2 linked regions of the Canis lupus familiaris genome follow. The protein of the gene in region 1 purifies or fractionates together with the protein of each later gene. This does not show direct contact. Links are inferred from orthologs where the notes say so. Each region holds a gene or a part of one and is shown in the gene's direction. Other genes may lie near its edges.

What was found.
Region 2: the proteins of CHRAC1 (region 1) and SMARCA5 fractionate together in Homo sapiens (co-fractionation; 5 studies listed by BioGRID and IntAct, with this or other methods). This does not show direct contact. The link is inferred for Canis lupus familiaris from reciprocal best matches to the Homo sapiens genes CHRAC1 and SMARCA5.

Annotation. Positions count from the first base shown.
Region 1 is NC_049234.1:35,773,108-35,780,075, forward strand, and holds CHRAC1 (chromatin accessibility complex protein 1), read left to right. Parts: upstream 1-2,793; 5' UTR 2,794-2,876; coding exon 2,877-3,023; intron 3,024-3,327; exon of another isoform or gene 3,328-3,400; intron 3,401-4,361; coding exon 4,362-4,488; intron 4,489-4,632; coding exon of another isoform or gene 4,633-4,697; exon of another isoform or gene 4,698-5,189; intron 5,190-5,195; coding exon 5,196-5,314; 3' UTR 5,315-5,866; downstream 5,867-6,968. UniProt on the Homo sapiens protein: Forms a complex with DNA polymerase epsilon subunit POLE3 and binds naked DNA, which is then incorporated into chromatin, aided by the nucleosome remodeling activity of ISWI/SNF2H and ACF1.
Region 2 is NC_049236.1:43,053,104-43,059,367, forward strand, and holds part of SMARCA5 (SWI/SNF-related matrix-associated actin-dependent regulator of chromatin subfamily A member 5), read left to right. Parts: intron 1-1,349; coding exon 1,350-1,498; intron 1,499-1,694; coding exon 1,695-1,814; intron 1,815-2,642; coding exon 2,643-2,753; intron 2,754-3,079; coding exon 3,080-3,193; intron 3,194-3,594; coding exon 3,595-3,717; intron 3,718-4,473; coding exon 4,474-4,606; intron 4,607-5,427; coding exon 5,428-5,546; intron 5,547-5,949; coding exon 5,950-6,162; intron 6,163-6,264. UniProt on the Homo sapiens protein: ATPase that possesses intrinsic ATP-dependent nucleosome-remodeling activity.

The DNA of each region.
Region 1 (6,968 bases):
GAGGGAAGGAGAGAGAGAGCGCAGCAGAGACACAGGCAGAGGGAGAAGCAGGCTCCATGCTGGGAGCCCGACGGGGACCTGGGACTCAATCCCAGGTCTCCAGGATCACGCCCTGGGCCGAAGGTGGCACTAAACTGCTGAGCCACCCAGGTTGCCCTAATTTTTTTTTTTTTTTAAGTAGGGCAACACGCCCAACGTGAGGCTTGAGCTCACAACCCCAAGATGAAGGGTCACATGGTCTATGCCTAGGCTGGCCAGGCACCTTTTTCCATGAACTTTGAAATCCAAGTTGATTTGATCAGGGGGTGAAAAGAACTTGCCACATGAACACTGAAACCTTACGGGGTAATTTACTTTTGGAGGGTGCTTTACAGTTCACAAAGAGCTTTCTCATTCCCATCCCCTTTGCTGCTTACCACTGACTAGGAGGGAGGTAGTGGCGGGCAGAGGGTCACTGACAGGGCGGGGACTTCGATCTTTATATGCTAGGCGCTTTCACACCTCCTAACCCCAACATCGGAGTACTCCCATCTCTGTAAATGAGGAAACGGGTTCAGCACTTGCTCTGCCTGGGGTCACACTGCTGAGTGGCAGGACAGTCCTCCCACTCTACGTCTCAGCTCCATCCAGTGGAGCAGCTTCTCCTTTCAGAAGAGCCTTTTTTTTTTTTTTTTTTTTTTTAAGATTTATTTATTTATTCATGAGAGACACAGAGAGAGGCAGACACACAGGCAGAGGGAGAAGCAGGCTCCATGCAGGGAGCCCGATTCAGGACTTGATCCCAGGACCCTCGGGTCATGCCCTGAGCCGAAGACAGATGGGCTTCCCTGCTGAGCCACCGAGGTGTCCGTCAGAAGAGCTTTTGACCGGCTTCATGGACACCCAAACTCTTGGTTTTCCTTTTATTCAATGGTCAGTTCCTCCCGGCCTTCCTCCTTTGCTGGATTTTCCTTCTCTCTGCCACTTTGAAATGCTGCGGTGGGACTGTTTCACTCCATCTACACTCTTCTCCTGAATGCATTCATTCAAGGTCACCGTTTTAACTACCTAGACAATGTGTGCAGGCTGAGAGAATTAGGGCCATTCAAGTTTAACATTGGCCCAAGTACAGCCATTGTAGCTTCGGTAGCCATCTCCGGCCACTGTGACCAGGCCACTGTGACCAGGTCCTGAATCCACCTTACCCCAGCTACAGTAAAAAACACAAAGCACGGCCTTATTCGGAATAAGGAAGCAAGAGCTTGTGAGACCTCTTTACTGGAGATTCTCACACATACCCCCCCTTACTGAAAAACCCCACCTTACCCCTAGAGCAGTCCATAAAAACCCAGCTGTAACACATCTTGGGGTCCAAGTCCCTGCTCCGCTGTGTTGGGTATACTTGGACCCAAGCTTGAGCTTGCTAATAAACCCTCGTGTGTTTGCATCGGTGTTGGCTCCTTGGTGGTTTCTCAGATTTGCAATCTTGGGCGCAACAAATGTTGGTTCCTAAATTCCGGTTCAAAAAATTAAAAACAAAACAAAACAAAAAATTCGGACTCCAGCTCAAATTCCAGGGTCTCATGTCCAATTTTCCGCTCAGCACCACCACTAGTGTTTGGCAATTAAAGCTTAACGTCCTCCAAACCAGACCTCTCCCCAAAGCTGCTCCTGGGGCAGTGCTCCCCATCTTGGCACGTGGCACCGCCATCCCGCCCCTCATTCCCATCCCACCGGCAGGTCGTGGTGGCTCTAACCTCGGAGGTCTCTAACCCGAGTCCTGCCCGAACCTTGGAGGTTTCTAGCGTGAATCCTCCCCACACCTCGGAGGTCTCTAACCCGAGTCCTTGCCTGAACCCCGAGGTCTCTAACCCGAGTCCTGCCTGAACCCCAGAGGTCTCTAACCCGAGACCTCCCTGAACCCCGGAGGTCTGTAACACGAATCCTCCCCACGCCCCGGAGGTCTCTAACCCGAGACCTCCCCGAACCCCGGAGGTGTCTAACCCGAGTCCTGCCCGAACCCCGGAGGTCTCTAACCCGAGTCCTTCCCAGCGCCTCACTGGGGCCTGGCAACAGCCTCCTCGCCGCGCTGCTTCCCTTCTTGCCCCCCCCCCCCCCCCGCGCCTCCTTCCTCTCCCCAGGGCTTCTGGGCTCACTGGGAAGAACTCCGAGATCCACAAAGCCCTGGCTGCCTCCGACTCCGTTCTCCCAGCTCACCGCCCCTTAGCCACGCCGGCATCTCCTCCCCGCCCCCCGCCCAAGTACGGCGTGATTCACGCAGGACTTGAACTCCCCGCCCCGAGCTCAAGACCTGAGCTGAGGATGCTCGGCCGCCCCGGGCACACCGCAGCTTGTCCGCGGCCTCCGCCTTCTACTCTGCCCCCCGCTCGCACCCTCCCCGCTCCGCCCCGCGCCGCTCACGGCAGCCAGAGGGATCCCGGAACTCGCCCGACAGATCCCTTCGGCCGCTTCCCACTTAGAACAAGAGCCAGCAGAGCCGAGGCTCCCTCGCAGTCCTGCTGCAGCACACCGGGCTCCCGGAGCGGCTCCAGCCCTGGGCCTGCGCCGGCGTGGACCCCGCCGCGAGGCAGCGCCTTCTCGGGGCCCCCCGCCCGGTATCTCCGCGGACCCCGCTGCGCGATCGCCGCCGAGCCCCCGGGTCCCGCACCGCGCAGGCAGGCCGGCCCCCGGCGGGAAGCCCCGCCCCCGCCCCCCGGCGCGCGGCATCTCGGGATTTGTAGTCCGGCCCCGGAAGGGCAGGCGCCCGCCCCCGCGGCCGCGCCTCCCCGACACTACAACTCCCACGGGGCAGCGGGACGCCGCTCCCGCACCCTCCAGGCCGGCAGGCCGCCTGCCTCGCGGCGGGTTCGGCGGCCGCCGCGGGGCGGGGCGCGAAGATGGCGGACGCGGTCGCTGGCAGAGACAAGTGCGGGGAGCCGCGGCTCGTGTCACTGCCCCTGTCCCGCATCCGGGTCATCATGAAGAGCTCGCCCGAGGTGTCCAGCATCAACCAGGAGGCGCTGGTGCTCACGGCCAAGGCCACGGTGAGGCGGGCCGCGCGGGAGGACGGAGGGGCGGGGGGCCGCCCGGAACCGTCGCGCCCCCCTCCCGACCCCCCCCACCCCGGCCGCGGGGCGCGCGCCCTCCGCCCCGCCCGCCGTCCCCCTCCTCCTCCTCCTCCTCGGCGCGCCTTCCGCCCACCCACTCGGCTTGCCTCGCTGCCCCGCGCAGCTCCCGCCCTCCCCCGCGCGCCCTCCGCCCCGCCCACCGCGCGCCGCTCCCGCCCTCCCCCGCGCGCCCTCCGCCCCGCCCCCCGCTCCCGTCCGCCCTCGCGCGCCTATCGCCTACCCGCTCCTCCGTCTGCGGCGCCGCGCCCGGCCCGCGCAGCTCCCGTCCTCCCTTGCGCGCCCTCCGGCCCGCCCGCCGCGCCGTTCCCGCCGTCCCCCGCGCGGGCCCCCGCGCCTTCCCGTCCCCCGCGTGCGGCCTGTGCCTTGGGTTTCGGGTTCCGGCGGCTCGGGGGAGGGGGCGGGGCCTCCCGCGCCTCATCAGCGCCCGTGGTACCTGCGCGCGCCCAGGTGCACCTGCCTGCATCTTAGCGCCCCGGGCCCTGTGTCGGCTGCGGTTCTGCCCGCGCGCGGTGTCCCTGGGCTCGGGCCTCCGCCGCTGGGGGCCGGGGGGCTCCGTGCTCCCGGGGTCCCGGGGATCTTCCTTCTGTTTCCCGTTAAAGGGTAGAGTTGAGTGAGCCCTAGAGGCCCAGAGCCCCCGGGCGCCTGCGTCACCCGGACATCACCCGCGCCTTCACGCCTCCTTGGGTTGAGAGCCCCGGAGGGAGAGCGTCCCCAGCAGCCTTGGCCTCGGGGTGCTCGGTGTCCCCGCCCGGCACGTCCCGCCTGCGAGGGTGAGGGCGCGGGGCGCGGGGCGCGGGCGGGCGCTAGGACCCCTCCCTCCCGGGCCCGGAGGGCGTTAGAGTGAGGAGCGGTGACCTCGAGGCTCCAGGCTCCGCTCAGGCGGTTGCTTTAGGGAAGGTGTTTGGGCAAATGGGGAAACGTTGTAGGGAACCGGCTGAGACGCGGTGCTCGAGGAGAAGGCCGACTGCGCTGGGTCAAGGAGGCAAGTTGGGAGTGGACCGAGCTGCAGTCCTTGCACACTTCCAACCCACGGCTGAATGCCTGGTCAGCGTTTTGCCTGCATTAGGAATCTAAAATGGCTTTAGGGCAATGCCTGCTTCCCCACCGGCTTTGACCCCCGCGGGCTTCCTGTAACTGGAGAACCCAAGATAATCTGCAGTCTGGTCACCTAAGCCTTAATGTAATTTAAAAAATTAAGTTCTGCGGTAGGTTTTTAGAGCATACCTTTCATTTTACTTTTTCGTTTTGTTTTAGGAACTCTTTGTTCAGTATCTAGCCACCTATTCCTACAGACATGGCAGCGGAAAAGAAAGGAAAGCTCTCACCTACAGTGATTTATCAAACACTGCAGAGGAATCGGAAACTTTTCAGTTTCTTGCAGGTACTCAGTCTTTGAGACATTCTGGTTAAAACATACATAGTAATTTACACCTTTTTTTTCTTTCCTTCTATTTTTTCTCCTGTTTTCACTGAAATAGACAATTTTTTTTTTTTTTTTTTTTTTTTTTTTTGCTGCTTTCTCCAGGTGCCAAAGTTTACCATGACCTGGCACAGGAAGACATTTGTAGTTTTGTCAGAGTATGTTTGTAATGTGGTTCACCTAGAATGGTAACGAAGTCAGCAACCTGCACAGGGATGTTTGGCTGGGTGGCTGGGTGGCTGGGGGAGCCTGGCTGACCCACCCCTCAGACTCCTTATCACTGAAGGGAAAACTCTGGGCTGGTCTACGTGGCCCTAAGAGCAGAGAAAGTAATAGTTGTGGACAGGCTGTGGGGGCCACAGCTGTAAAGAGCTTCCATCTGCCTCCGAGGCCAGTCGGCATGTCTCAGGTAGGTGGGCAGACTTGCTCATCACCAGCACATACAGGAGCACATAATTTGCAGTCCGTGGAGTGGAAACAGGTCTTTGGCAGGAGTCAGGAGGCAATACTTGTTTCCTGCTATTTCACCCAGAAGCATGGTCGGAATTTTGTCTTGTTTTGGAAACTGTTCTAGAGTTCAAAGCAGAAACTAGCACATTTTGAAATTTGCATTGCTGTGTTCGTGGTCTGCCAAAACCAATTGCTGATGTTAGCTTTATATTTTTAAGATATATTACCAAAGAAGATTTTAGCTAGTAAATATCTGAAAATGCTTAAAGAGAAGAGGGACGAGGACGAGGAGAATGACAGCGATGATGGGAGTGACGGGGACGAAGCAGAATCCTAGACCAAACAGGAAGTGCTTTAGAAATCACCCTGCTGAGGACCCTCCTGGATTAGCAGCATTGCTTGGAAGTAAGCACAGCGCTGTGTGACTTTAGACTCCTCACTTCTCAGAGACTTCAAGTACATTGGATTTCTTCCTGGCTAAGATAGAGCACCTGTTGTGCCCACATCACAAATGGCCAGAAGAAAAGTGACCCAGACAGCAGCCTCTCTGAGGGGCCCGCACTGCAGTTCGGGGGCACAGAGGCACCAAGAAAGCTGCCTGTATGGTCAGGCACTGCCAGTTGATCTGCTGCAGCTGAAAGCTGTGGAGGCAGACAATTTTGCTTCACTTTTTAATTTACAGATGATAGATTTTGAAGAGCTTCTAAATACCAGTTGTATAAATTCATAGATGTATATCTGGAAATTAGTTCTTGTAAACAACTAGATGTAGTTTGAGCTAAATACATAGTATATGGGTAGTATGTTACATTTGAAAATTTAATGATTTGTTCAAATACTACAATTTTATTAACTGTAAAGAAATAAAATTTCTTTATTAGAAGCTGTACATAGTTTTAGTCAATGCTTTGTGGAACTAGTTTTGGAGCTCTCTATTCTAATGTCTTGCATATTATCTGAGAAGTCTGCAAAATTTAAAAATAAGCGTTTCTAATACTTTCATTCTCGGAAGAAAAAAAACTCAATTAAATCAAATACGAAAAGAAATATAATCTCTGTATAAACATATTTCTCTTAAAAACATTTTATTTTTTTATTTTTATTTTTTCTTAAAAAACATTTTAAAACATGTTGTATATTGAAAATCTCTCAGGGCGCCTGGGTGGCTCAGTCAGTTGAGCATCTGCCTTTGGCTCAGGTTATGATTTCAGGGTCCTGGGATCAAGTCCCACATTGGGCTCCCTGCTCAGCAGGGATCTGCTTTTCCCTCTGCCTCTGCTCCTTCTCAAGTAAATAAATAAAACTTAAAAGAAAATGTCTTATTTTACTGTTCCTTTCTTTATACTCAAATTGTTTTTATTCTTCACAGAGAAAACTACAAGCCCTATTTTTTTTTCCCCCACATAGGGTAAATTTTTGGCTGTTTTTTTAGTCTCTCTCTCTTTTTTTAAAAAGTTGAATTAGGGCAGCCTGGGTGGCTCAGCGGTTTAGTGTCGCCTTTGGCCCAGGGTGTGATCCTGGAGACCGGAGATCAAGTCCCACTTTGGGCTCCCTGCGTGGAGCCTGCTTCTTCCTCGGCCTGTGTCACTGCTTCTCTCTCTGTATGTCTCTCTCATGAATAATTAAATAAAATCTTAAAAAAGTTGAATTAATTTTACATCCAATAAATCATCCTTTAATAGCCAATCTTTTATGTAAATATCAATATATGGGACAGTTCCCCATCACCCCAAATTTTCCCCTGTACCCCTGCAGTCCCTTCCTTTATCTGCAGGTAACCACTGATACTTTGTTCCTCTCGTTTTAAAATTTTTAATTTTTTAAGAAAATCTTCACTTCAATATACAGTTTTGAGCTTTGACAAAACCAGTTCCACAACCACAAGATTCAACAGTTGTATCACCCCCCAAATTCCCTCTTGGTCAAAGTCATTTCAAACCCTTTACCTTGGCAACCACTGAGCTATTCTTTACCCATGTGAAAGTTCACAA
Region 2 (6,264 bases), on another chromosome or scaffold:
TAAGTTTTTTTACTTAGGTTTTTGGTTTTATTGGGGGTACAAATTTTGTATATGTGCTGCTGAAGTGAGCATGGGGGTGGGGCTTAAATTTTAGAGCAAAATTTTGTGCTAATAGCTCTGTAGGCATTAGTCAAAGAGCAAGCCTCAGGTGTATCTCTTTGTATTACTGTCTTGCAGAGTAAGAGATGTAATTAAAAATAATGAGAAATCATAGAACTGCTTTCTGTCTGACCAGCTCCCCCTCTGTCCAATGGGGAAGTAGTTTCAGTAAGACAGACCATTTTGTTAGTAGTGAGGTAGCTTTCAAATCAAGAAACATGTTCTGTAGATACATCCTAACTTTGAAATTCATAGATGTTGGTGGATTCTGTTAGGGATGCAAAGCTGTGATACACAAGCATTTAAGATCCAAGAGAACAATTTGATCTTTATCCATACTCCTTTATTACAAGTTGATTGGAATACAAAAAGTGAAGCTTTGTGTAAGTGAAAATATTTCTTGATATTTTTGTTTTTGATGCTTGTGTTTTCGAAAACACAAATTATAGGGTTGACCTATAATTCCTACCAATTGAAGATCTTAGTTTTCTTATGTTTAAATTTCTTCTGTGATCAAAATAAGCTTTGAAGAGTTTCAGTTCTTTAGATTAGGAAATTTAATTTATTTAGTCCCTAGATAAAGTTTGGCAATATGAAGGTTTTTTTTTTTTTTTTTTTTTTTTTTTTTTACACGTTACCTTTTTTCCCCCACTTCACTTTTCGAAGAAAAAGCTGATTGGGGAGTACTAGTATTAATGTCTTTCTGCTTATCAGAACTTCTTGTGATTATGATTTGATCTCTTGATATTTAAAAAAAAAACTTGCTAATTGTGATTTTCAAATATTCCAGCATGATACTATTCAGCCCATATAAGAATACTTTTTATTGGGCAGCCCCGGTGGTGCAGCGGTTTGGCGCCGCCTGCAGCCTGGGGTGTGATCCTGGAGACCCGGGATCGAGTCCCACGTCGGGCTTCCTGCATGGAGCCTGCTTCTCCCTCTGCCTGTGTCTCTGCCTCTCTCTCGTTCTCTCTGAATGAATGAATAAATAAAATCTTTTTTTTTAAAAAAAGAATACTTTTTATTGAGATATGGTATGCAGTAGGTTTCATTATGTAATGATGGATTAACAGGATATTTCAAAGTTTACAACTAAGAGTGGCATATTTTTATGTGAGAATCAGAATTATCGGCAGTGAATAAACATGATTAATATTTGAGGCAAAATACATGGTATTACATCTAACATTTAAAATTCCAAGTTTCAAAACAACCTTGATTAACATTATACAACATTTTTTTTTTTCCAGGAAGACTTGTGGATCAGAATCTGAACAAAATTGGGAAAGATGAAATGCTTCAAATGATTAGACATGGGGCAACACATGTATTTGCTTCAAAAGAAAGTGAGATTACTGATGAGGATATTGATGGTATCTTGGAAAGAGGTGCAAAGAAGGTGAGGTGTAGATTAAATGATTATGTTTTTAATATAAAATCTTTTAAATCAGAACTGTTTGAGGAAATACGTATGTGAGCCATAAAAAGGAGTTTTTGTGTACTGCAGAGCCTAACTTATTTTGACTACAGTTCTCAAGGTTTTTTTTTGTTTTGTTTTTAATTCTCAATATAATAAAGTGGTTTTTTACCCCTAGACTGCAGAGATGAATGAAAAGCTCTCCAAAATGGGTGAAAGCTCACTTAGAAACTTTACAATGGATACAGAGTCGAGTGTTTATAACTTTGAAGGAGAGGATTATAGAGAAAAACAAAAGGTAACTTGAGAAAGCTATTTTGGTTACTTGAAGGCCTTACTTTACTTAAAACTTGCGATTTTAAGTGTTAGCTGTAACACCTTGTAAATTTGTCTCCAAGCAGTCATTTTTATATATTCACATCTAAATTATTTTCATTTTTACATGTAATATCAAATTTTCAGTTAGTAATCTCTGAAATGTTTTAAAAGCTTATGTAATGAGGCTTACTATATACACTGTTAGAGTTGAAATATATTGTAGGGGTGATTATAATTTAGAATCTTTGAAAACAAATAATTGGCAGAATTAACATAACCTTACTAGATTTTTTTTAAAAGACATAATTGGCTGGTAGTGATTAAAGGGGAAAAACTTCGTAATTTCTTAAGTAATATTTGTTAATATATAGTGAAATTAGAAAATACAAGTTGGAAGAAAAATAGTTCTACTCAATGTTTTTTCTGTTAACATTTAAGCTTTGTATATCCTCTGGATTTGTTCTAGGCTAAATACATATCTATATTTTTCTCCTAGTTTGAGTTATAGCATTTTCTGTAGGTCTGGTCCTTCCTCCTCCTCACCAGATAAAATGTTCTCCATTTGGTCAAGAAATACTTAAGTATATCTTTGCTATTCACCATGTACTGTGCAGTGTATTAATTACATAGTTTTGAGCAAAGTATAGTCCCTTATCCTTGAAGAGCCAATGGTCCAGGATTTTATGAATATCTTGCCACTTACAAATAACAGTTGTAATGATGTATACACAGTATGAATTGCATTCATCTAAGATTTGTGACTGTAAACAGTCAAAGTTGGTGATTTGCATTGTTTCCTGTATGCTAGATTGCATTCACAGAGTGGATTGAACCACCTAAACGAGAAAGAAAAGCCAACTATGCTGTCGATGCCTATTTTAGGGAAGCTCTTCGTGTCAGCGAACCTAAAGCACCCAAGGTGAGTTGATGGAGCAATAAAATATCCAAAAATACTAGAATTGTAAATATTTTTCTTATATTCTTAATATTAAAGTTAGATTGAGAATTAAAATCTTCTGTGGCTTCTTACAGTGTATTTCCATCAGTTTTCATTAAAAAGTTTTCTTAAAAATTAGTTGTAAGTATATGCATTTAAAGTTTGATTAATGTTCACTATTAATGATAAATTCAGTTGCTTGGAGAATTAGCCATCATAAGTTTTGAGAGAGGAAGTTACAATTAAAATCAAAGCAAAACTTTTTTTTTTATGGGTAATACTGTGTTTTGTTTTTTTTTTTTCTCTAGGCTCCTCGGCCTCCAAAACAACCTAATGTTCAGGATTTCCAGTTCTTTCCTCCACGTTTATTTGAATTATTGGAAAAAGAAATTCTGTATTACAGAAAAACAATTGGGTACAAGGTAATGGAAATAACATTTTGTTCATAACTAACCTGGTTTTGTTCTTAATTTAGTAAATGGAGGGTATATCAAGTTTTTTTTTTTTTTTTTCACGGTTGGATTAAAACTTGTAAAACGTTATTTGGTTGGTTAAGAATTTAGGGCAGCCCCGGTGGCGCAGCGGTTTGGCTCCGCCTGCAGCCCAGGGTGTGATCCTGGAGACCCGGGATCGAGTCCCACATCGGGCTCCTTGCATGGAGCCTGCTTCTCCCTCTGCCTGTGTCTCTGCCTCTCTCTCTCTCTCTCTCTGTGTCTCTCATGAATAAATAAATAAAATTAAAATCTTAAAAAAAAAAAAAAAAGAATTCATCACATACTTTCTAAAATCTACTGATGGATGATATAAACAAATATTTTTTTAGGTGCCTCGAAATCCTGACCTACCAAATGCAGCACAGGCACAAAAAGAAGAACAGCTTAAAATTGATGAAGCTGAACCCCTTAATGATGAAGAGTTAGAGGAAAAAGAGAAACTTCTAACACAGGTATATATAGTCTTTATTCAACATAAAATTTAGTGTAACCATTACTTTGTAAGGGTACTATGCTTAGGTATGTTGGGGTACACAGAGAAGTACATGTTTTGTCTTTCAAAAAGTAAGTAATTGAAGATGATAAAGCATGAGCCATATGGGTGTATGCTACAGTTTGATTGTCACTAGTTGTTGAAGTAGAGAAAGAGTATAGATTTGCGCAAGCCTTACAGTGGATATGTTTTTTATTACGTTTCTTCCAGTATTCATTTTCTTTTCCTGTGAATCTTCCACATTGGTACTAAGTTACTGTTCTCAATTACAAGTCTCTTTTTGGTACTTTTTTGTTTAACAACCTTTAGGGTTTAATCAGGATCTTTTAGAATCTGGCCTTAACGTACTTTTGAAGCTTTATTTTTCTTCCACTTTCCTAATTGTTATTTCTTTGCTCTTTAGTGTATGTTTATTGCTCTTTGCAAACTCCTGCTTATCCTTCAAAATACCGCAAAATCACTTTCTCACAAAATCTCTTTTTCACAAAGCATTCCTCTCTTCCACTCAGATTTAATTGCTTGGTTATGTAAACAATATGTGATATATTGCTAAAAATACAGATCTATGTGTATGAAAAATTACCACTTTAAAATAACTTAAAATCTAGGAGTAATTGAAAATTTTCTAATACTTCAGACATACTCGTAAGTGAAATAGCATTTTACCCATGTTCACTCTGCTGTTATTATATGTTTTGTTTCCATTGCTTTGAAGGGATTTACCAATTGGAATAAGAGAGATTTTAACCAGTTTATCAAAGCTAATGAGAAGTGGGGTCGTGATGATATTGAAAATATAGCAAGAGAAGTAGAAGGGAAAACTCCAGAAGAAGTTATTGAATACTCAGGTAATTTTTAAATCATTTTAATAGATTAAAAAATATTCTCAGGTTTTTGGAGTGCTATTTGGGGAGTTCAGGTTTTATTATTCTGAGTTATGTTTTGATAAGCTAAATTTTGCCACAAGTTTTAGGGCTGTATTTTTTTTGTGTTTTTAAAAAACTGAGTTGGAAAGAAAATGTCCTCTTTTTTAAAATGGCATAGTTTTTTTTTTTTTTTTTTTTTTTCACCCCAGCTAACTGGCTATTGCCAAGAAAATAAGAATAGGTCATTGAATAATTATGCTTTCATTTTATTTTTCTCCACAACTTCTTAAGCACTATGTGCCATTGTTTCCTGAAATCACTTGAATTGTCAAGTGAAGAGGTGTAGTGTGCTGCAGTGAGTGTGCTTAGAATTCAAGAATAATAGAAATTTAAGAGTTGAGAGATACTTTTTTTTTTTTTAAAGACTTATTTATTTATTTATTTATGATAGAGAGAGAGAGAGAGAGGCAGAGACACAGGAGGAATGAGAAGCAGGCTCCATGCCAGGAGCCCGACGCGGGACCCGATCCCGGGACTCCAGGATCGCGCCCTGGGCCAAAGGCAGGCGCCAAACCGCTGAGCCACCCCAGGGATCCCCCGAGTTGGGAGATACTTAAATCATCCAGTTGATCTCATTTTTTTATAGTTGAGAAATTAAATAATCGTCTTATTTTGTAGTATTAGATGTGAGAAAAATGAAAACATTTCTTAATCCTTAGCAAATTAGAGTATTTATGATAAATTATTTATGTTTCTCCTCCTCCTTCCACCTGTCTCATCTGTCCAACTTTTATTCTTACCAGCTGTATTCTGGGAAAGATGCAATGAACTCCAGGACATAGAGAAGATTATGGCTCAGATCGAAAGGGGAGAGGCAAGAATTCAAAGAAGAATTAGTATTAAAAAAGCACTTGACACGAAGGTACAGTCTGTATTAATAAATATAGAACTTCTGAGAATATGTGAGTTAAAGGAACTTTTTAAAAGGAAATGAAATGATTTAAAACAAAGATTTTGTTCAAAGAACAATATTCAAGTGTTATAGTTATTCTCAACAGAATTTACCTTAGTATACTTCAGTTGAAATATCTGGGTCAGAGTCTCTATGATTAGCTCTTTCCTACAAAGTCTGAGCCTGTATCTCTCTCTAGAATAATAAAGATTATAAAGTTGTTTCACAGCAAAGGTTATATAATGCAGTTGAAGTGCCTTTGGATAGAAAATTCTGATTTGGAATGGAACATATTTAGCTAATTTTATTAAGGCTAAGTTTGAAATATAGATTATACAGGATTTATATTTTATATAAAATCTGACTTTGATAGATTGGACGGTACAAAGCACCTTTTCATCAGCTGAGAATATCATATGGTACTAACAAAGGAAAAAACTATACTGAAGAAGAGGATCGTTTTCTAATCTGTATGCTTCACAAACTTGGATTTGACAAAGAAAATGTTTATGATGAATTACGACAGTGTATTCGCAACTCTCCTCAGTTCAGATTTGACTGGTTTCTTAAGTCTAGAACTGCAATGGTGAGTGCCTGGGCCTTTTTGTGTAATGTAGCACAGTTTAGAGTAAGTATTGCTTAATATTCTTTAAGGTAAGTAAGGTAACTTACTAAGAGTAAATTGTGG